Linked DNA regions of Oryzias latipes. The protein of the gene in region 3 interacts with the protein of the main gene of each other region in a biochemical or structural test. Links are inferred from orthologs where the notes say so. Each region holds a gene or a part of one and is shown on either strand. Other genes may lie near its edges.

Evidence for each region.
Region 1: the proteins of rad51 (region 3) and rad54b form a complex in vitro, tested with the Homo sapiens proteins (2 studies listed by BioGRID). The link is inferred for Oryzias latipes from reciprocal best matches to the Homo sapiens genes RAD51 and RAD54B.
Region 2: the proteins of rad51 (region 3) and fbh1 form a complex in vitro, tested with the Homo sapiens proteins (2 studies listed by BioGRID, with this or other methods). The link is inferred for Oryzias latipes from reciprocal best matches to the Homo sapiens genes RAD51 and FBH1.
Region 4: the proteins of rad51 (region 3) and rad52 form a complex in vitro, tested with the Homo sapiens proteins (6 studies listed by BioGRID). The link is inferred for Oryzias latipes from reciprocal best matches to the Homo sapiens genes RAD51 and RAD52.

Annotation. Positions count from the first base shown.
Region 1 is NC_019874.2:17,753,343-17,759,168, forward strand, and holds the start of rad54b (DNA repair and recombination protein RAD54B), read right to left. Parts: upstream 3,686-5,826; 5' UTR 3,443-3,685; intron 2,964-3,442; 5' UTR 2,939-2,963; coding exon 2,801-2,938; intron 2,534-2,800; coding exon 2,353-2,533; intron 1,275-2,352; exon of another isoform or gene 1-1,274. Other genes in the region: RING finger protein 151-like, read left to right, coding at 5,085-5,102, 5,285-5,400, 5,539-5,678. UniProt on the Homo sapiens protein: Involved in DNA repair and mitotic recombination. May play an active role in recombination processes in concert with other members of the RAD52 epistasis group.
Region 2 is NC_019881.2:3,015,389-3,021,016, reverse strand, and holds the start of fbh1 (F-box DNA helicase 1), read right to left. Parts: upstream 3,604-5,628; 5' UTR 3,260-3,603; coding exon 3,241-3,259; intron 2,988-3,240; coding exon 2,820-2,987; intron 157-2,819; coding exon 1-156. UniProt on the Homo sapiens protein: 3'-5' DNA helicase and substrate-recognition component of the SCF(FBH1) E3 ubiquitin ligase complex that plays a key role in response to stalled/damaged replication forks.
Region 3 is NC_019882.2:19,722,358-19,727,944, reverse strand, and holds the start of rad51 (DNA repair protein RAD51 homolog 1), read right to left. Parts: upstream 3,722-5,587; 5' UTR 3,651-3,721; intron 3,615-3,650; exon of another isoform or gene 3,530-3,614; intron 2,711-3,529; 5' UTR 2,667-2,710; coding exon 2,577-2,666; intron 2,502-2,576; coding exon 2,364-2,501; intron 2,294-2,363; coding exon 2,176-2,293; intron 2,104-2,175; coding exon 2,012-2,103; intron 1,936-2,011; coding exon 1,841-1,935; intron 1,770-1,840; coding exon 1,656-1,769; intron 941-1,655; coding exon 811-940; intron 267-810; coding exon 145-266; intron 78-144; coding exon 1-77. Other genes in the region: centromere-associated protein E, read right to left, coding at 4,666-4,745, 5,585-5,587.
Region 4 is NC_019864.2:21,083,586-21,089,082, reverse strand, and holds the start of rad52 (DNA repair protein RAD52 homolog), read left to right. Parts: upstream 1-2,168; 5' UTR 2,169-2,534; intron 2,535-2,547; exon of another isoform or gene 2,548-2,706; 5' UTR 2,707-2,728; coding exon 2,729-2,776; intron 2,777-3,057; coding exon 3,058-3,159; intron 3,160-3,249; coding exon 3,250-3,343; intron 3,344-3,418; coding exon 3,419-3,486; intron 3,487-3,573; coding exon 3,574-3,692; intron 3,693-3,783; coding exon 3,784-3,859; intron 3,860-3,948; coding exon 3,949-4,175; intron 4,176-4,254; coding exon 4,255-4,424; intron 4,425-5,483; coding exon 5,484-5,497. Other genes in the region: proline-rich protein 5, read right to left, coding at 888-920. UniProt on the Homo sapiens protein: Involved in double-stranded break repair. Plays a central role in genetic recombination and DNA repair by promoting the annealing of complementary single-stranded DNA and by stimulation of the RAD51 recombinase.

The DNA.
Region 1 (5,826 bases), on a different chromosome or scaffold from region 3:
AACAGCAGCTTCTCTGCCCCGCCACGATTGTTGTTGCTGCACGTGCGGTCAGTTTCGAGCGGGGCATCACCAAACAGTCCGCCGAAGCACGTGGAAAACCGTGCAGACACGCGCCGCGTGGCTTCAGGACGTTCGTCTGATCCCGAGCACAGTCCTAATCTGGACCCAGCAGCTGCTCATTTACATAATGCTGGACCTGCTGCATCGACCCGCCCGCTCCAACAGACTCTTTCAGTGTAGAACAGTGATCACGTGACACCGTTTAAGGAGGGGAGATGTGTTTAGTCCCCCAAGATCTTTTTTTATTTAAACAAAAACATTCCGAGTGGTTTTCTATTTATGATTATAAAATTATAACAAAAATCCCACAACATAATTGTCTTAAAAAGCCACATTTCATGTTTGTCTTAAGCCTCCGTTTCCAAAATCTCCTCCACGTGGGCGTGGTCATTGGTGCTTAGCTGGTAGCCCCGCCCCTGACCCCTCCCCTTTCTGCAAGCTGTGTCTTCCATGAGTGAAGAGCTTGGCACAAGAGGGGGGGCACAAATGACAGACATAGAGGTGTTTCTCAGAAACGGTGAAGTGACATATTTTCTGTGTGTATCAGACCCTGCTGTATAATAAAATTACACACGAAAAATAACTTTTACTAGCCCATGAAAAATGCTTTGAATTACATTATAATTTAGGCTACATTGCACCAGCAACACTAGCTGTGGCTCAGAACTGTTTTAATATAGCACATGCAGATTGTTCAATTCACACCAAATACAATGAAATGCCTGAAAGAAAGTGACTATTCACACGTAATTTTCCAAATACGTGCAGCCAGTGCTGAAACTTTTTTCTTGGCCGCACGGACCCAGAGGAAGGGTTAAGTTTAGGAGCATGTCTTATGGATAGGGCAATGCTGTGTTCACACCGAACGCGAGTGGCGCGGCAGAGGCAGCCAGTTTTCAAAGTTAATTACATGGTAGAGACGCGTGCTGAGGTCCAGTGGTGTGATTTAAGCGACGGGTGTGGTGCAAAGGTCTGGCAGCAGCGCGATTTCAGCGGCGCTGTGCAATTTGATACCCGTCCGAACCAAATCACCAAACAGTACTACTGTCCTACACCTGGCTGTGGATCCTGCCTCTGGCTCGTCTCTGCTCTGCACCTGACCGTGTACCTCGTCTCTGCTCCTGCCCTGACACCTGGCTCTGGATCCTGTCTCCTGCTCGACTCTCGCCCCTTACTGTCCCCCCAACTCCGTCTGGATAAAGCTCGTCTGCTGGACTTTAAATATGTAGTTGTAGAGTTAGATAAGTTAATTCTTCTCTAAGAGTTCTGGTAAATCGCCTGTCCGTCCTGGGGGAGGATCCCTCCTTCATGGAGGCACCCCTGAGGTTTCTTCGTTTTTTCCGGAGTCCGTTTTTTTTAGGAGTTTTTCCTTACCGTGAAAGGGGTTTAAGGGCAGGGATGCCAGTATAGCTTAGTCAGTTTGTTAGTTCATTTTAGAATTTTCCTATTGAACTCTTTGTATTCATGATCCTTTTGAGTTCATGTTTCACTTTTTCAATTACCGATACTAAGCCCATCGAGACGACTGTTGTTGTGAATTTGGGCTATACAAATAAAATTGAATTGAATTGAACAGTACCTGTAACGGTTATGCTGGGCGAAGGTGTGTACACCCTGGACAGTCTGTCCCAGGAGGTGAGACGTCATGTCATTGACTAAAAGCGTTAGCAATGTCTATAAGATCAATACCAAATCCAGTATTAGTTCTAATTAGATCTGTCAGCTTTAATGGTAATTTGAATGTTTAAGCATTGTTTTCTAAAACCTTTTGGAAGTATGTGTGTGTATGTGTCTGTAAAGTTTTGTAAGGGACATGCTTATGTTGGTGGAGCAGGTTAGAGAAAAAAAGCCAAATTGTTTTCCCATTATTATGATAATTAAGGAAATACAAGTGATAAGTTTAAACAAAGTAAATATATATTGTTGATGCTGATGATGAATAAATTCTACAGTTTAGCTGAAAGTGTTATATAAAGTAAATTCAGATATTATTTAATTCCGTCAAGCATATTATTTTACAACACTGACATCTTTTCAGTAGATAAATTAAACTTGTATGTCAGACTGAATAAAAAGTGCTGTATGAAACACACAAACTGGGTTGCAAAATATGTTTACCTGAAGAGTCAGATCAAAACCACCAAAAAACAAAAATTAAGTATAAAAATAAAGGGCAAAAAAAAAATTCTACTGTAGACCAGAGGGACTATTTTACTGATGACTCCCCAAAACATTAGGATACAACAGAAGTAGTACTGCCTTATAAATTTACACAAACAATTAGAAACATACCTTTATTTTCATCTTCTGTTAAATCTCTTAATCCAGGGACGGATTTGGTGTCAGCCTCGTTTTCTTTACTGTCAGTAGCACTGAGAACTCGAGCCAGAGCCCGTGACAAAGGGGCAGTTTGGCTGGTTTTAGCAGACACATTTATTTCACTTTCCACTGCCACAGATAGACTTCTCTGGACCTGCAAAAGAAGTGATATCAGTTTAATTACACACACTTGAGTCCTCATTTTGGTCCCTAGTAATCCCTGCAACTAAATTTACATGAGGCAAAAAAATATGACTGTCAAACCGCTGAACGTGGATATTTCTTTGCTTCTAGTGATTTAGAAAAGCTGATTTACTGTGGTGACCCCTGAAGGGATATGCCAAAAGGTAAACTGCAAAAGCTACTCAAAAAAAGAGAAATTAGTAAAATTGAGAATTAAACACAGTGAATAGGAACTTACTTTATCCAATGCATTCACCAAACCCGGTTTGGGGGCCAAAGGCTTTGATTCAGTTTGAAGTAGTGAAGCTGGTGAAACAAATCGTGTTTTTTTCACTGCATTCCCCAAAAGCTGACTGGGTGCTCCTGAACGCCTCATTCCTTATAAAAGGTCAATGTGCCCCCTACAAACAGAAATAAACTACATTTTAGAAACACAATGGGGAAAACATAGGCAATTTTTCAATAGCTACACCTTTGAAATTCTTAAAGAAAAAAGAGGTATAGAAGAAAAAAAGTGATCTAAAACAGGCATGCTTTACCAAGAAAGACTAGTGATTTTTTTTAGTTTTTGCATTTAGAATACCTTAACCGACTAAAGATTTCTACGTTTTAGCAACTCAGGATCAGAAAATGTGTTTCTATTAACGCAATATAAATATAAACTCTTCAACAAACAGTTTTGAAACTTTTTTGTTGACTCTAGTGACAATTTATGTATTTTGTCCTTTATCAGGTTCCGTTTGTCGTTTTTGATTTTTACTTTTAGACTAGTTTGAAGTAAGTAAAGTCAGCGACAGGCTGTGTTTAACTGTTATCACGTGGTCAAGTCGAAAGTTTAAATCGGCCGTAATGATATTTTGTAACAATGCGTGATACATACCACCGACGAGAAAATGTTATTTTGGAGAATTACTTAAATATCGTCCAATTCAACTTGATAAGTTTCCCACAGTGTAAGCGGAAAAGGCAACTTCCGAAACATGTCTCCCGCTGAATTATTTGGGGGTTCTGATTGGTTAAAAGTCAACAAAAGGCGTGGTCAAATGAGAAAAAAGCATGTTTGATTTGAACACCTGGACAGCCAAATCCTTTCAGCATGCCTAAACCTCTTTTTTCAGACTTTATTGACAAATAACACAATAGAACAAAATAGTGAACGTCTCAGGGGTTACTGAATATGTACATTGCAGAAAGAAAACAAAACAAAAAAAAAAATTATGTATACGTACAAATACGTATACAGTGTATGAAATTAAAAAAAAAAAATCAAATCAGTTCGAATTGCCTTTTGGTTTTGCAGTTGTTTGATAATGTTACAGTACTGATTGATTTCATTCAAAAAATGCTGGAATTTAGGTTTGGAGTTGGACCATTTGGCTTAATTAATATGGAATTTTGCAAATGATGAAAACATCTATGTAATAAAGATACAATCTTTGTCTACATTGTCATTAAGATAACCCGGAATAATTTCTTTATCCAAAAATTGTACAGTTTCTTTTAGTTAAATTTTCTATATAATTTTCCACTTCCATCTACAACATATTTGTATGTATGCAGTCCACAAACAGGTGATAAATGGTTTCCTCTTTCAACAACAAATCAACAAATCTTCTTTTTTTGGCAGGATATATACAATGCGATATTTTGAAGGACACCTCTTTTATTTTGTTATTTAAACAACATTTTTTACTAACATTCCAAGCATTAGTCCAGTTTATGTCCACACATTTTGAGTAGCTCTCCTAAACGTATTTCAGATCTTTTCTGTGGTCCATGACAGCAGCAAATCGAGCATAGAGGTGTACATTTAACAAAATAATAATTTTAGTGAAAAGTAATGACTAAATCTGAACAAATATTAATTGAACCGTTTGTTGGTGGAATTAAAAGCAGCTTTTTTTTAGTGAATAGTCACTATTTTTAATATTTCCAACTCTATTTTGTTTAGAAAATCTGGAAAGTTTAACTTCATTTAGTTGTGAAGTCTTTGGTTTACTTCATACCATTTTAGAAAGGTCTTTTTACTACTTTCTTTTCGACTTTATTCCATTACACTCAAGGACAGGGGTAATAAGTATGGGCAGTGAAGGTGATCTTTTGATTCCTGTTGTCATGTGCTACGTGCTATCCGATGGTGTGTACTTTGCAATCCAATCAGGGACGAAAAGAGTGTAATCCACGATAATCCCACAGCTCTAGACAAACAGAGAAACCTCAGATAACTTTCGCCGTTAAGGGGAGCAGCTATTATCTCTAAGGGCTGTGTAACAACTGGGCTTTAGACAGTTCGTGAAACACTTGACTGCTTTTTTGTCTGTCCCTCTGCTCTTGTCCGACAGCTGCCTGCCTGGCTGTATCCTGCACCATTGTTGTCAGAGTTAGCTCTCCATAGAAACGCTCTCCCAGAGGAAGAGGAGGAGCAGGAGACCCTCTGCTTCAGGATGAAGGAGAGCCTCTACAGTGTGATCAAATAGATTGAGCAGGTGCAGGTGAAGTCTACAAGATACAGGAGGAGCTGGATGAAGTCAAATCCTCAGGTAAGAGAGATTAAAAGCAAATAAGTAGAAAAACAAGTAAACTGCACAGGAAATGTAACAACCTCTGTGCAACCTGTTTGATCCTCTATAGGATGGGTTATGATCTAGAGAGGTTTGTAGGCTACGTGAATGAAGGTCTGCTGTGCTGTGTGTGCCGAGATGTGCTTGAACGCCCCCTTCAGGCACCCTGTGAACATGCCTACTGCAGCTCCTGCATCAGCAGCTGGCTGCTTCATCACCACACCTGTCCAGAAGACAGACTGCCATTAGATGTGAGCAACCTCAAACCCCTGTACCGGTATGTCTCCATCCCTGCAACTACACTTCAGATATCTTTCTGAATCTCTATGCCTCTTTATTTTTGTTTCACTTGTCTGCTTTAGAGATGCAAGAAAGTGATGGGAAGAGCCTCTCAGTTTGAGTGTTTTGATTGCAGGTACATGCGCAATGACCTGAACCGCCTGCAGATCCGCTGTATGAATGCAGCACACGGATGTGAGGTGGTCTGCTCCCTGGAGAGCCTGCATGCACATGAGGACGAGTGTGTGTTTGCCTTCATATCCTGCTCTAACACCGGTATGCAAACTCCTCCCTGGAAAAACAAAAATGAATGCTGCTTTGTTTCTATTCACAATAGTTGTAAAAATGTTTATCTCTATTATCTATCTTTATATATATGTATGTTATCCTCTTATATGTGTGATACAAAGGTAATGTGACACCT
Region 2 (5,628 bases), on a different chromosome or scaffold from region 3:
CATCCTCTTCCTCAACGTCCATCGACTGTTGAACAGGAAATGCAGATGAGGATGACTGAGGGGACTTGTGTGGACTGGAGCTGAGAACTTTTGTCACAGAGAAGAAGCTGTTGATGGACTTCTGTTTGTCACAGGGACTTCCAGATGCTGCTGCAGCTGCAAAAAAGAATAAAAATAAAAACTGTTTTCAAATCAGTCTGCATGAAATGAGATGTTGTGGGGGAAATTCATCCCTTGGTGTTACACTCCAGGCCTCGAGGGCCGGCTTCCTGCAGGTTTGCTAAAACCTTGCCTTATCTGCTGCTTACCTTACTGACCGTGCACAAATGCTGCACACGCACGTGATACCCAAGTCCCCGGACAACGCCACACAAACTAAACTCTGATTGTTTCATTTCCTAGTTTTTAAAAGTCAGGCTACAATCAACGATCACACATATATCAGAAAAAAAGGAAAATTCTGTACGGGACGCCTGCATGTCCCCCACGTCACCCTACCAGATGTTTCACCCGCATCGTGCCTGTAGAAAAAGTTTACAACCTTGAGTTTTGGGTGGCCCACCTGGTTACTCAATACAGATCTGCCCATTTTTCACCCGCAGACAGCCAGTACCCGCCCATAAGGGAGGAAGGCTGTAAACAATTTGCTGCTGTTGTTGATTTTTTATTCAGTTTAGCCTAAAAAGTGGTGCATCTCCAAATTCTCAAAGAAAACTTGTTTTTTTTTTCTGCACAGAGAAAAGAACAGATCTGAGGATTCACAGAGTTCTTCTCAATTTTCCCTATTAGATACAGAAACAAGGCAACAGTGGATAAAGGCGTGACATCACTGAGTTTAACCACAACTATGACAAAAACAATGAAAACAGTTCCAAAGGAGAGTCTAGCTCCAACAACAAGCTTTTGTACTGCAGTGAAAAACTCAGACATGAAATTTTTTAGGTTATTTTCGGGATTTTTTTTTATCTCATTTTGTGTCTCATCGTTGAGGTATGATGAAAATTATTTTTTAAGCAGGAGAATTTGCACAATTGGTGGCTGACTAAATGCTTTTTGGCCCCACTGTATATATGTAATAAATAGTAGTAGTTCAAAACATGCACACACACGGGTTTACATATATTCCATACATATATGAATTCAATATATTCCTACATATAAAAAATACTTGAGATATGTATATGTGAAAAACAAAGAGCACTATGGTTTGTGCATTGTATCTTCATAAAACAACAGTATACAAATAAACCAGTTCAGTGGCCTTGGGGTAGAGTGTCCGCCCTGTAACCGGAAGGGTTTGAACCCAGGCCGAGTCATTCAGAAGACTTTAAAAAGGGCCCAAATGCCTCCCTCCCTCAGCATCAAGGGTTTGGATTGGGGGGTTAAAACCACCAAATGGTTCCCACGCGGGGCTCGTCTGCAGCTCCCCCTCCCCCAGGGGAGGGGTCAAATGCAGAGAACAAATTTCCCATTGTGGGATAAAATAGTCAACTTTTTTATTTTTTAAAGAGTAGGACAAGCAAGGCATCCCAGAATTTATAAACCCATATATGGAGGCGTGTTTACCAATGCCTTCATAGATCTCTTCAGAATAAATAGATAAATCTATTCTACCAACATCCTTCGTGTCTGCCATGATGTCAGGATGAAGAAAAACTCATGACAGTAGCTCCTCCCACCTGCAGCAGAGGTGTCAAGCTAAGGAACTGTCGACAAGCAGCAAATTTGGCATTTGTCACCTTTGTTGAACCACTAATGTTACGTTGGAGGTATGAGGGGCTCTAAGCTACCAGGAGAGAGTGTAAACAAATGGATGATGGGAAATGAAGGGAGGCTCACTCCATGCACGACCTGAAGTTGGCTTCCGATTCACAGCTTCCGATTCGCGAAGCACTAAAGGAACATTCCACTGCATATTTTATTGTGTCAGGAAAGCCACAATAACATAAACCTATCAAAGTAAATGTGACAAAACCAGCTTTTATGATAACCTCTCTCTTTTTGGACCCTGGTATTGTAATGGTTATCTCTTCCCATTTCAGGTTCACCCATCTCTTTCTCTGTTGTTCATATATCTTCACTCCTCCCTTGATCGTATCTCTCCCTTCCTCATTTTCAGAAATCAAATAAAGGTTTCAACTTCCTGCTTGGAAGGTTTCACAAATCAGAAACTGTGTTTAATGTATTCTTTTGTATCTAAATCATAATTTAATCCAGGTTTGATCAGTCCAGGTCGTGTGGTTTTTGAACAGGACCTGATCTAAGGTGCACTCACTGCATAAAAATGATCCTATTTCACATTTTCACTGATCAGAGAAAGGTTTCACAAATCAGAAACAGTGTTTAATGTAATCTTTAGTTTCTGTTGCATAATTTATTCCAGGACTGAGCAGTCCAGCTCCTGCGGTTTTTCAACAGGACCTGGTTCTAGGTGATCTTAGTGGGAAAAATGCAGTGGAATCTTCCTTGAGTGCCCTCACGAATCGGAAGCCAACTTCAGGTCGTCTCCAATGCCACAACTTAGAGCCAAATTTCTGATGAACCCCTGTTGCTCTGCAGAAACTATGTCCTAGAAAATGACAGTTTTTTTTATTTTGGCTACAATCTGCATAATTAACGGCAAAGACCACTGGGAACGTTTTGAAAATACATTAAAAGATGGTCTGTGGCATTTCTTTTTCTTGAAGTTTTACTTTGCTTTTTGTATTTGTATCCATGTCTCCTTATGTTTTACAGATCCCACTTTTCCCTTCTCTCTTAAATAATCACGCTTGGACCAAATCGAGAATGAATCGAAGCCGATTTCCGTCGTAGATTACCAGGTTTCCTTCTCTTTGCTGGTGACCTGGGATGAAGCCCCCGGTTTGGGTTGCGGTACCCCAGCCCATGGTTTGATGTGTGGGGCTGAGTCAGAACATCTGTCCCGTTCGCACTTCGTCCCAGTTGGGCGCAGTCCCGAGCATTCAGATGCTTTCTTTTGGCTCTGCCTGGAGACACAGAAGCGCCATGATGTTTACTTTACAGACCATCACAAACGTGAGAGTGAGCGTTTCTAACGATTAACACAAACTAGCTGCAATTATGTTTCTGAAATGATATCAAGAATCATAAACACAACGTAGCACTCCGTTGAAGAAAACATAACTCAGTAAAGAAAACTATTTCAGACACTTAAGTTTAAGTTTAACCTCGAGTAAATTAGCATTTCAGCGTCTTTGTTTACCTCAACGTTGAACTCACCTTTGGCGGACACCTCCATCTCTGTACTCGTCCGTTCCTTAGTAACAAAGTCACACCATGTTTGCTAGCATAAAAACATGATTAAAAAATTAAAAACTCATTCGTATCGTACATGTCATGTAGGTTTTAAAACGATAAGCATTACGCTAGCTTCCAGAGTTTTGCTAGCTTGTATCGTTCTATCTACTTTCACGACTTTTTTTAAGAACAACGAAAATGAACAAACAAAACAAGCAAAAACATCTGTAAACACAAATAAAAGTAGCAGCCAGGACTGAAAAGTAGATTTAATTGAGAGTCGGAAACCGCAACCGAGTAAATCCAAACAAGTTGGCTTTCGAGCAGTGATTGGTCCGCTTCTTCTTCGTTGGTTTTACCGAAGTTGGAAAGCAAATATTTTGCTCTTTACTGCCACCTAGTGTGATCGGTGGAGAAGGGAATATATATTTATCTAAAGCAGTGGCGGCTACTGGTCTGTCAGAGAGGGGACGCTCATTTTCGCCCTACATCATAAAATTGTCTATTTATTTAAAAGTAAAAAAATCAAGCAATTTCGCCAAGCAAATATAAAAGAAATAGGTTGCAGCAATTTTTATTTCGACTGAACATGAGAAATCCGCGATGGGACTGAGCCCGAATACCTTCAGTGATTCCTTATAGTACAGAATCGTTGTCAGTCAAAGGAGATGGAGTCTTTCGACAGACCCTCCAATCATCAGGCAGAAGCTCTGAGTCCGGGCCAGCCCATCCGCCATTGACCCCCAGAGACGCTGAGCGTCCGTGGGCGGGACTTAATCGCAGCGTTTATCCAATGGCCGTCTAGTTTCGAAGCGCTGGAAAAAAAAAAAAGTTCAAAGCAGCCCCATTGAAGTCAATGGACGCTGGGCTTCAATAGGGAAATGCACTGTGATGCTGCGGGAATGTATGAGAAGGAAATGGAGTCAGCCGACCTGCTATATGTAACTGTTTCTGAACGAACTCGTCTTTGAGATGAACGTTTCTAACACATTTTTAGTCAATAAAATGTTAATACAATAGTACATATTTAACCATTGATTTTGTGACATTATATTATATATAAGGGAAGCCGAGCTTTCCTTGCAGTCTTAAAAAAATCGCCACTGATCTAAAGTTCTAGTGGGATTATCTTTTCAATGGTTCACAGTAGCGCTGCACGATATGAGGAAAACTTGCGATATGCGATATTAGAGATTAATATTGCGATATAAAAAATAGAAAAATGCCAAAAACATCATTCCCATTTCATTAGAAACAGTTTAAAATTATACTCCAAATGACCCTCATCCACATAGGTGACAAACATCTAACATAATAGGCCTCCATCTGATTGGTAAACAATGGGAAGGCGTCCATCTGATTGGTCAAAGCATAAAGGGATTTATTTGATTCGTTAAAAGCATCAAGCTGCCATAAGATTGTTTTAACACATTTTGGGTTTACGATTAATTTTGATATTAGTCTTTTGCGATATGCCTATTGCAGAGCTGGATATTGCGATAACGATAAATTTGCGGTATATTGTGCAGGCCTAGTTAACAGTGGTATTTTAATAATGACGATGTCAAAATAACAAAACTTGTCATTTTCTAGACATAGGTCCTGAAGTTTCTAGAAGTAAACCATTTTCTATGGGTGAAGTCGTCACATTTAATCGCTCCATTTCTTAAACAGGTAATAGTCCATTCAGGATTTCAGCTGTCTTCCTCTCATGCAAACTTTATATCTAACAATGCATGTAATATAATATAATATAATATAATATAATATAATATAATATAATATAATATAATATAATATAATATAATATAATATAATATAATATAATATAATATAATATAATATAATATAATATAATATAATATACACACACACATATATAAAATAAAATAAAAAAGCAACAAAAAAAACGCCCCTCTCACCCTCCGCGGGTGGTTTCTCCTCCAAGCTCGGGTCCTCTACCAGAGGCCTGGGAGCTTGAGGCTCCTGCAGTATCTTAGCTGTTCCTAGCACTGCACTTTTCTGGACTGAGAGGTCTGAGGTCTTTCCAGGTATCTGTTGTAGCCACTCCTCCAGCTTGGGTGTTACTGCCCCGAGTGCTCCAATTACCACAGGCACCACTGTCACCTTCACTTTCCAGGCTTTCTCCAGTTCTTCTCTGAGTCCCTGGTATTTCACCAGTTTCTCGTCTTCCTTCTTCCTGATGTTCCCATCGCTTGGCACTGCCACATCCACCACAACGGCTTTCCTCTGTTCTTTATCCACCACTACAATGTCTGGTTGGTTCTCCATTACCATCCTATCAGTCTGGATCTGGAAGTCCCACAGGATCTTTGCCCTCTCATTCTCTACCACCTTCGGAGGTGTTGA
Region 3 (5,587 bases):
CCTCGGCCTCAGGCAGGCAAGGCGAGTCGTAGATCTTGCAGATCCGGGTTTCCCCTCGACCTTTCCTCAGATACAACCTGAGCGAAGCAGCAGGGCTTTAGATGGAGGCGCGGCGGCACAGAACTGGGTCGGAGGGAAACTCACCGTGTGGTGGAGGCGTGCGCCAGGATGTTCCCTCCGATGGGTTTCTTAGGATCCGCAGAAAACATGGCTGCCCCGTCCACTTGCGCAACCACCTGGTTGGTTATCACCACGGCAACGCCAAACTGCAACAACAGAAGTCAGAATGGGAAAGTTGGATCCGGTGATCCGGTTCCCCCAAATTAACAACTATTTAGTTTCAAACAAAGACTCAACAGGAATTTTCCTTTCAGCCTTTGTGGCAAAAAATAAAATAAAATACATATATATTTTTTTAACCCTTGTGCTATCTTGTCCTTACATTGACGTGTTCTCCCTACCATGACAAAGGTGGATAAAGGTGGAAAGATTTCATGTAATCCATGGACACCAGTGAAGATCACAAATCATTGAAGAAAAAGGTTCAGAGCACTGTCTAGTGGGTCTAGATGACCCAACTCCCAACGTTAAAGTACCTAGGATAGCACAAGGGTTACAGTTTCTATTTGAACCTAAAACTTTGTACGCTGTGCTGATAGTTTTTGTCTACAAATCAAACCCCCAAAATGTTGGTAAATAAATAAAAATAGATAATTCTGGATTTTGTTCATAAAAACCACCACATCTGAATCTGGATCATATTTGTAATCTAGAGGTGAGAATCTGCAGGGATCAGAGGTGGGCCCGTACCTCGTCTGCCAGTCGCAGCAGCATGCGCAGGAACCGGCCCAGGTGCCCCTGCCGGGCCGACAGCTCTCCTCGACCCGAGTAGTCGGTTCTGTACAGAGCAGTGGCGCTATCCACGATCAGCAGGGCATACCTGAGACACAAACGCACCATCTAAAGTAATCTAAAGCTGATGTTCTGATGCTTTTTTTACAATACAGATGAACTGACAACTTTTTTTTTAACAGCAGTTCCATTTGTCAACCTCCTTCGGTAGAATATTACATTTGGCTGCATGTGTGGGTTTTCTCTGCGGCTTCCTCACAAAGTCCACCAAATATGATGACCAGTGAGGCACCTGAAAAGTCCTCGCTGTCTGTGCACTAACAGAGCCACCAGCAGGGGGCAGTTCTGTCTGAGGTTTATCCTGATGGATCTCATCAGTTATCAACATTAAGAACATCTGACTCCTCCATCCACCTCCATGCTGATGACATAATCCTCTATTTCATTGCCGCCCCCTCCTGACATACTGTTTCCCTCAATAACATGTCAATAAACATATATATATATTTAAATGTATTGATTTTTTATCTCTCATTCTTCAAATGAACCTATTTGCTGCATTGTAAAAGAAGGATAAACATTCAACTAGAGGCAACCAGTTATGCTAGTTTGGCCAAAATCAGCATATTCATGATAAAAAGATTACTGGGAATGATTTGAAAATAGATTTTAAAAAAAGATGATCGGACTTTAAAGCTCAAACACTTGGGTATGTGACCTTTGACTGAATGTGTTCGGAAACCTGCAAACTGTCTGATCTCAGGAAGTGGACTGGAGGACAGCAGAAGGTGTGAAGGACTCACCTGGACTCTGCCATCATGGCTGAAGCTTGGTACAGCAGTTGGGTCTGATGGTCGGTGTTGAAGGCGCGGGCGTACGCCACGTTGTCCAGGACGTCACTGCCCACCAGACCGTACCTGAAGAGCCCAGAGTTTTAACATTTTCTCAAAGTAAGATGAGGAGTTTGACGCTCACGGTGGAAACTCGCCTCTCTGCCACAGCGAGGAGCCTCTCTGGTCTGAAGGTCCCCTCTGTGTCGATGTACATCGCTTTCCCTTCTCCTCCCCCTTGATCGATGGGCAGCTGCAAACAGAACAGAGGACTGAAAGCTTCACGTGATCAGACAGATGGAAGTTTGGCCATTCCGCGCTGATCTTACCTGACACGTGACAGCGAGGGTGTGGCACAGCTGCGTCTTCCCCGTGCGAAACTCCCCAAACATCTCTGTGATGGAGCCTGTCTCAATACCACCTGAACTCAGGAAGGAAAAGGTCAACATTCTTCAAATCCTCAGGGATGGTGAAGGAGCTCCAGCAAACTCACCCTGCAGGAGTTTGTCCAGCTCTTTGGATCCTGTGGAGATCTGGATGATCTCCGACCTTCTCTGGTGGAACTCTGTGGCTGTAGTGAAACCCATCGGTACTAGCTTGGCAGCTTCAGTCTGAGAGAGATAACAGAACCGTTAGGTAGGAGCAGCAGAATCCCTGAAGCCAGAAGCTGCTGTTCCTCACTAGGATCTTGTCGGCTTTGGCCTCGCTGATGCCTTTGATGTTGAGCAGCTCCTTCTTGGGAGCGTACGCCACGGCCTCAATGGTGTGGAAGCCTGCGTCCTCCAGTTTCTTGATGTCGCTGGAGCTGATTCCACACTGCTGCAAGCAGAAACCAAAATGTTTAAGACAACAAAGCTTCTGCAAAAGACACAATAGAACTATCAGGGTTCAAACCTCCAGTCTGCTAAGAGGCTGCGGCCCAAAGTTCTCCTCCTCCTCCACCGCCACTTCTGCCTCCACCCGAGCCTCGCTCCTCATGGCCATGACTCTTGAATGAAAAGCTGAATTCTCCTCAGGCAGGGTCCTCACTGCACAGAGTCAAAAAGGAGTGTCAGAGCAGCAAACACCACGATACAAAACAAAACAGGACAGAAAGTTTAAGGAGGTCTAATGCTTTCATTTAACTAAATCCTACTGATTTAATACTAGTTTTTCTTCAAAACATAAAAGACTTGAGGATATTTTCTTAAACTAAAATAGGAGCGTTTTAAACGACCCAAAACACCTAAGCACAGAATAAGAATATTAACAGTAACTTAAAACTTAAACACGTGAAACATGATTTCCCAGCATGCAATTATCCATCAATCCTCTTTAGAGGTTTTTAAGCAATATACTGAATACTAACGAATTTTTATTAGTCAAATAATTTTAAATATATACGTTTAAATTACTTTTCTTTCCTCTACATAATTCAGGGAATAAAGTGGCATTATCAAACCAATTTGCAGCCTGTTATGCAGCAGGGATTTGTAGTTCTTAGTTGTAGTTGATAAAATAAAATGTTAACTGCAGCGTCTCAGCAGGTGTTCAAAGCTTTTTTTAATCCGCATTTTATAATAAATGATTAGAAGAGACAAATGTTTTCTAAAGTTAACATTGCCTGTTGAAGTTACACCCCGTTGTTCAAATTCAAAAACTTTATTGATAAGTTGACGTAACACTTATGGGGAAACCAGTGTTTAACCAAACGACTACAAACTGACTCCTATAAATCAAAGTTTTCCAATAACAACAGCAGCTGTTCATATTTTCAAAAGGCTTATTTGTATCTTTCAAAGCATTTTTTGGCTAAATTGAAGTCGCCCGCTAACTTAGCTTTAGCGCTAATTTGCGTAATTTCGTACAAAAAGTTTGATCTTCCGTAAAGCTGCTCTGGGTTTAAGAGCAAAGAGCCAAGTGTCATGGTTCGAACCCCCTAGAAGCAGTGACATTTTTCTACTAAAGACCACGGTTTCGATGAAATACCTGCTGCTTTGTTCTGTTTGCTGATCCTACAAACAAAACTCCCGCGCACGAGATTCCTGTCGAACGCGATGACGTCACATGTGTTCCCATGCCTTGACAAAACAGGAAACCGGAAAAGGAACATTTTTTTTATCAAGTAAAAAATAAAGAACTAAACATTTTCGGTTTTAGCTTCGTAAATGGATATTAGTTTGAAATTGTTTTCCACAAAAACATAAAATATGTATACTTAAATCTTAAAAAAAGAGGCTTGCTCATAATGTGAAAAGCTACAAAGAACAGGGATCCGTTAAAAATCCAAAATTTCTCATTAGGAAGATCTGTTTAAACGCATTTTCCCCTCAATTTCATGTTTATAAGTAATGTCTTTACCAAATAAAATGTCTGTCAGACACGTTTTTGTGATTATTTTAACAAAAAAAGTCTTCAAAAGTGGTATTTAGATTCATTTATTCATCCGTGACTAATAAGGTTTTCAGTAAACATTGAAATAAACCTTTATTTTGATAGAGCAAAGATTTCACTGAATTGTAAAAGCACTTTCAGGCATCATTGGCATCTTGTTTAAATTTGAAGCCTTTATTTTACTTTCAATAGGAAAATAAAATCCCCACCATAAAAGGATTTAAACATGACCTCCGCATGCTTAAATATGCGTTTGATTTTAAACTAGTTCCTCAAAAACAAACATCCAAGTCATGGGCCAATAAATGCAAATTCAAATTTAAAACAGCTGTGACCTACTAATTTGACATTTTTCGTACATAACTGCAACAAAATTCAAGTGAATTTTTTTTTTCCAACCAAGCGTAACCTTAAAACAATAAAAGAATAAACCTCACATTTCATTTTCCATTTATTACAATTATAACAAAATTGCACATGAAGTGTTTTCAACTCAGAGGAGAATCACTCTTATACTGAAATACAAAAAAGTCAGACTAAAACACAGGATTTATTTTTTGGCTTTAAAAGAAAAGTGAAATATTCATTTTTAAAAGGATTCTTTTAATGTTCATTGGGTTTTGCAGAAATCTTCTTTTTTGGGAGACTGTGGCCACCACGGGTCTGTCCCACTGGCTCCAGCTGCAGCATCTGAAAAATAAAAGATTTAAAAACATTTTTTCTGTGCTTTAATCATCAACATGACAGAATCCTTTACCCTGGATTTAAAGAAAAAGACTGGGGTTAGAACAAATGCACACAGATAAATATATATTTAAAAAGTAAATAAGAAGAAAAAACCTGAATTTGTTAACAGAATTTACTGTCTTTACTAAAATGAATCTGCTCAGCTTTATGTTTTTTCAGACTTCAGAACAGATCAAAGGTTAGTTTGCATCTTCAGAAAACTTTTCAGTAACCGTTAAAAACATTAGTAAGCAGGAAAATTCCAGAAGTAGCTTTTGAATCAACAACTTCACGGTGACTCAAGAAACCTCTGGATCTTTTCACAAATTAAGAGCCTGCTTTTAAAGAAAGGAGAGAGTCAAGGGTCCTCCCAGAATTAAACAGCTGTCCACAGATATGCCTGCCTATTAATCTGCTGAAACGCCTTCCTCTGGAATGGAAAGACTCCCATTTCCACGGAGCACCTTCACAATAAAACCAGCACACTGTGGAAATAAAGAACTGCACTTTGGTTTCAGCTTTTTTCCAGCAACTCCACTTCTCAGATAAGAGAAAAATATTTTTTGAACATGTTTTGTCTTTCTTTGATAATAAAAATTGTAAACTGCTTTGATTTCAGGATCAGTCGCTTTATAGTTTAAGCTGACACAAAGTGCAGAAGATTAATGCTTCCAAACTGTTCAGATCTGAGCTCAGTGCAAACAGTTCAAGTCTTTTGAAAGACCAGTGACCTCCCATCAGCCCCTGCTTCCATCAGTAGACACCCAGTGAGCGTTCACACTGCCAAACAGGACAAAAATTACCGA
Region 4 (5,497 bases), on a different chromosome or scaffold from region 3:
TGGGGATGCAGATGAAAGAAACTGAAAGGCGGAATGTGGCGAAACCTGCGGTCAGATCCGTGGAGAAAATCAAATCACGCAATGCAGAAGTGCAGATTTCCTTCCTACTGTCACAGTTATTTGAACAAAAGCCCGTTTTTGCGGGCGGACTTCCCGCACAAACACCCGGGGGACAAACGCCTGTTTGTACACGTATCTGTGCGTGGGCGAATTCACGGTAACGACAAGTTCGTTTTCCCAGTCAGTGTATTTGGGTGTCTCCCCCATTGAAACAAAACTGCACACACGATGAAGCGCCCCCCAGTGGTCAGAGGGGAGAAATGCAGTCTGGCTTCTCAGACAAAGACAACATAAAAGCTCTGCGAGCATCTTCAGTCACACAAAACAAAGAGGTTTTATTGTTTGTGTTCAGCAGTCCCGCTTTTATTCAACGTTAAAAATCCAGCTGGTTTAGATTAACCAGGAAACGCCACACCAGGTTAGTCTGGGTATTTCTGCTTTTGTACCCCCACCCCTCCTCCTCCTGTGTGTCGGTTACAGTCAGATGCCATTTCTCGTAATTGCTCCTTTTCTGGCCTGCACATATGGAATCGCCTTTTTCTGGTTGAAGCTACGTGACCTGTCAATAAAAGCAAACAAGACTTCAAACAGTCCACGTTGATCGCGCGGGGGAGAATGCGCGAGCAGTCGTGCGTATACGTGGAGCTGCTCCATTGATCTGTGCGGCCGGAATGGAGCGCAGTGTAAACAAAGCCGCTCGTCGTCTGAAGGCACCCGGAGAAGCTGGCGCAGAGGGCCAGGGAGGGGGGGCTTGTATGGATAGGAAAGTGTGTCGCCAAGTTGCGGTGTGTCCTGCGCCTCTGCCCGCCCACAGAACCCGAACTCACCGTTCCTGATCCCGGTGCTGCTCCCTGTAACATGAAACGATCCTGAAGAGCGGAGAGGAAAGCGCCTGTTGTTGGCTCATTAGCTCATCCACCACAGATCCCACGTGGTCGGAGCAGCCTTGCAGGCATCGGGTCGCGGGTGGAAGAAGGATCCTACCTGGGACGCCGCAGGCTCATTCAGGAGGCTGGTGGTGGAGTGGCAGCTCGCTCCGTCGCTCCTCCCTCGTTCTCTGGCTTTGGCTCGTCCCCGCTTTGTTTTGACGTGATGCAAAAGATAATCTGGACGCGTGGACGCGCTTTGTGGTTACAGCTGCGTGCATGAAAGGGAAATTATAAAATGTTTGGAAGAGGAACAAACACAACTTTTTAAGGCATCGCATCACACGGAGCGTGTGTGACGAGGAAAGCGAGTCTCACTGATGACCTGAGCGCAAAAATGCGTAAAATGCGCCACGTTGCCCGGGATTACACTATAGTTTCCCCCAAAACGGCATAAATATTAAACCATCAGATAATTTAGTATAAACTCATTGACCAGATGCGAAAATTGGCGCAAGATGTTTGTATTTTAACTGAACGAAAAACAAATAAACGTGTTTAAACGGCAAATTGAGACATAAACTAGAATATGACCTGATTAAAAAAAAAGATGTATAAATGTAGGACAAAAGAAAAAATATCAAAGCAGGAACAATTCTGCAAAATGATGAAAAAACACCAAAACCCACAAAAAACAAGAAAAAAGGGCATAAAATCGTAAAATGTTTATACAATTTGTGTAAGTTTAGTCATTTATCTCCAAAGATGAAAAAAGGCCAAACGAGAAAATCAAAACAAATATGATACCGAAATAAAAAAAATAGGAACAAAAATCCGAAAGATTTTTCAAGGAAAAAAAATAGAAAGGGAGATGACGGTTTTTCCCGTAAATAATGTAGACTTCAATATCAGCATTCTGTTTTTCTGATGGTCTGTTGGAGATCTTAGGAAGATTTCCGAAATGAAATTAGACAAATAAAACGAATCAAAATGTATGTTATTACTATTATTATTACTATTATTATTACTACTATTATTATTATTATTATCATCATCATCATCGGGGGGTGGTGGGGTGGGCTGTTTTTTTGTTTTTATGTTTGTTTGTTTTCACAAACCTTATAAGTACAAAAGGCACAAAAAGTACAAAAGGTTAAACATTTACTATGGTTTAAGATTAGAACAGTTTGTGAGCAATTTTTGCTTCACTTTTTAAAAATCATATGTAAAAAATACTAATAATAGACTGTAATGTTGTTACGTTTTAGGCTATTTCAGGTATATCTCGTTAATGCAAGTATCTACCCAAAAAAAGACTGAAAACAGATAGTTGCGATGAAGTTAAATGCATTCTTTTCACTATCTAACATGGGTAGTTTAAACATAAGTAATATTGAATGCGTTCCATGTGTGCTTATATCAGTTGAAGTGACTAAAGATCACTTTGAAGAATACATGTTAAACTGATGCCAATAGTTGAATTTCCGTTTACCCTGATGGCATCATTTCATCCTCTTCCGGTTCTCTAAGCGGGAGGTTCAAATCCTCGTAGTGTAAATGCTAACTATTCAGGTTCGTTTTTAACACGGAAAACACATTTTAAATAAGGTGAGTTGTGTCTAAGAGCATTTATTGTAGAATTTTATCTCCTAATAATGGAATATTAGCGAGCGTGCTAAAGCTAGCTTGATCTCCTTGTGTTTTTTGGCTAGCTTTCTGCGTCACTTTTTGCATGATTGGGTGAATTGAGATGACATTTGAAGTACTAGCTGCATGCAAGTTTGTGTTTCAGGCTAGCCATAATGTCGGCTGAGGAAAGGGGCTTCCCTGCACCCACAAAGTTCGGACAGGTTAGTCGATTTACAAACGTACAACTACAACGCCATGATACGATTGAGTAGATGTGCGCATGCTCCACTCACTTAGCTAGAAAATTGGATGCTCCTATTCTCACATCATCCCCATCACTGTAAGGATGCATGCAAGATAAGTGGAACCACCATCTCCTTTAATGTGTTTATATAGATTCATTAAGTGCAAAATAAAATCCTCAAGGCTGTAATAAATAACGTGTAACTTGTTTGTTTACCTTTTCTTCTGTGGCGTGTTATACTGTTCTGCACCCACCCAGTGCACCTACACAGCAGAGGAGTACCAGGCTGTCCACAATGCCTTGCGACAGAAACTGGGACCAGAGTACATCAGTACCAGAATGGCAGGAGGAGGCCAGAAGGCAATTATAGCAAACATATGTTCATTTTTTGCCCAAATTATTCTCTATCTAAACACTTATTCCTAATTGTTTTTGGTTTTTTTTCACCAGGTGTGTTACATTGAAGGACACCGTGTCATTGGCCTGGCCAACGAGATGTTTGGGTACAATGGATGGTCTCACTCCATTTCCCAGCAGAATGTCGGTACGAGAAGCTCAACTCCAAAGCGTTCAGTTCAATTCCGCAAAGCAGATTAACAGTCAGAGGTTTTGCTTCCAGACTTTGTAGACCTTGTCAATGGGAGGTTTTACGTGGGAGTCAGCGCCTTTGTCAAAGTGCAGCTGAAGGTTTGGCGTTGTCATTTGTTTGAATCTGCACCTATAATCCCACAGTGAATGATTTAAAGTACTGTCTAACAAATCTCCTGCCTCTAGGATGGGTCGTTTCATGAGGACGTGGGATATGGAGTTAGTGAGGGCCTGAAATCTAAAGCTCTGTCTCTGGAAAAAGCCAGGAAAGAGGCGGTCACTGACGGCATGAAGAGAGCACTGAAGTCAATAATTCACACAGCAGTATTTATTACTTCATAAATCAATTAGATTAATCCACTATTTGACATAAATATCTGCTTTTTTTTTGTTCAGATGTTTTGGTAATGCCCTCGGAAACTGCATCCTCGATAAAGAATATCTTCTTGCCATTAATAAGATCCCCAGACAGGTCAGACTCAACATATGAAGTAAATTCTCCTTTAGTCTGGATTATTGTCTTCCATTTATGGTTCTAAGATTTTCATTTTCTGTACAAAGCCTCCAGCACCTTTGGACCCAGCAAAGACTAAGCGTTCTGAAGGCGAACCGTCAATCGAGAAGGCCCGGTTCAGCAGTCTTGGCCGAGAGGAGAAACTACTATGTGCAGCGGGTTCTTCCAGGATGCCACTAGAACCCAGAGTATTGAACCAGAATCAGTCTGAACTTCACACACCGAGTGCTGCCAGCTCTGTTCCCAACGTAAAGAGTGAGGATGTCAGCTCCAGGTAAAAAGTAAAAGCTGCTTTGAGACCCTAGCTTCCCATACAAATTCACATCACCTTCTCTCACTGTCCTTCTTTGAAGATCTTTTGGGTCAGAGGTGCACACAGACCCTAAACACTTACGAAAACTCAGACAGCAGGAACTTCAGCAGAAGTTCAAGAAGGAGATGGAGGCCAAGAAGCTCCAGCAGAACCTGGATCAAGTCAAGACAGAGGAGTCTCCGGCACCTGGTGAACGGCGATCCTCTGGAGGTAAAGGTTTGGAGAGGAACAAGTATGGAGGCAACCTGAAATTTCTATTCCATTCAATTACAGTAGAAAAATTCCCACTCCGATTATCTCTTGATCTATATCAAAGTGTTCCCAGTGATTTTGATTATGCTGTTTTTAGCCTTAGAAAAAAAAAACATGTCATTTTTAATGAGACAGATCAGCAGTAGTTCACTGAGTTGTGGATGGACTGTTGGCATGGGGTAACCCCGGCCCCTTTCCCATCATCCACCTGTTTTCATGCTCATTATCTATCAAGCCGTACATTTGTGCCAGGTGCCCGCTCGGACATCTAGTCGTCTACAAGTGGATGCATTAGAACAGGGGTGGGCAATTCCAGGCCTCGAGGGCTGGTGTGTCTGCATGATTTCTAGATAGTCTTGCTCTACTCATGGCTGATTACCTGGTTCAGGTGTGTCCAGCCAATCAGAACATGCCAGAGCAGGGTATGCTGGAAAACATGCAGGAATGCGGCCCTCAGTGCCCACCCCTGCATTAGAATGAAGCAGAGCTTGTGGCTGTACAAGCTCTTTCCAACGGCATTTCCTCATCTGTTACAGATTTACCACAATTTGTTTAACCCTTGTGCTATCCTAGGCACTTTACCATTGGGAGTTGGGTCATCTAGACCCACTAGACAGTGCTCTGAACCTTTTTTCTTCAATGATTTGTGATCTTCACTGGTGTCCATGGACTACATGAAATCTTTCCACCTTTTTCCACCTTTGTCATGCTAGGAATAACACGTCAATGTAAGGGTGGGGTCATAGGATAGCAGAAGGGTTAAAGAAATACTCAGAAATGCTAATTTAAGCATAATTATGAGAAAAATGCCACAAGAAGTCGTTAAACACAACATTTTTATCTGAGTAGGTCTTTAAGATTTTTATTTAAAACACAAACTGAGAAGATGGTTGTGCAGCTCAATGACTTGGCTTATCCATAAAGTTAACTTATGTCAGAAATGCATTTAAATGAAGCTGTTCTGTTATTCAGATGTCTCATAGGGAGCTTTTTCACTCCGTTGTTTCTGTTCTGCAGGTCACAGCGGAGAG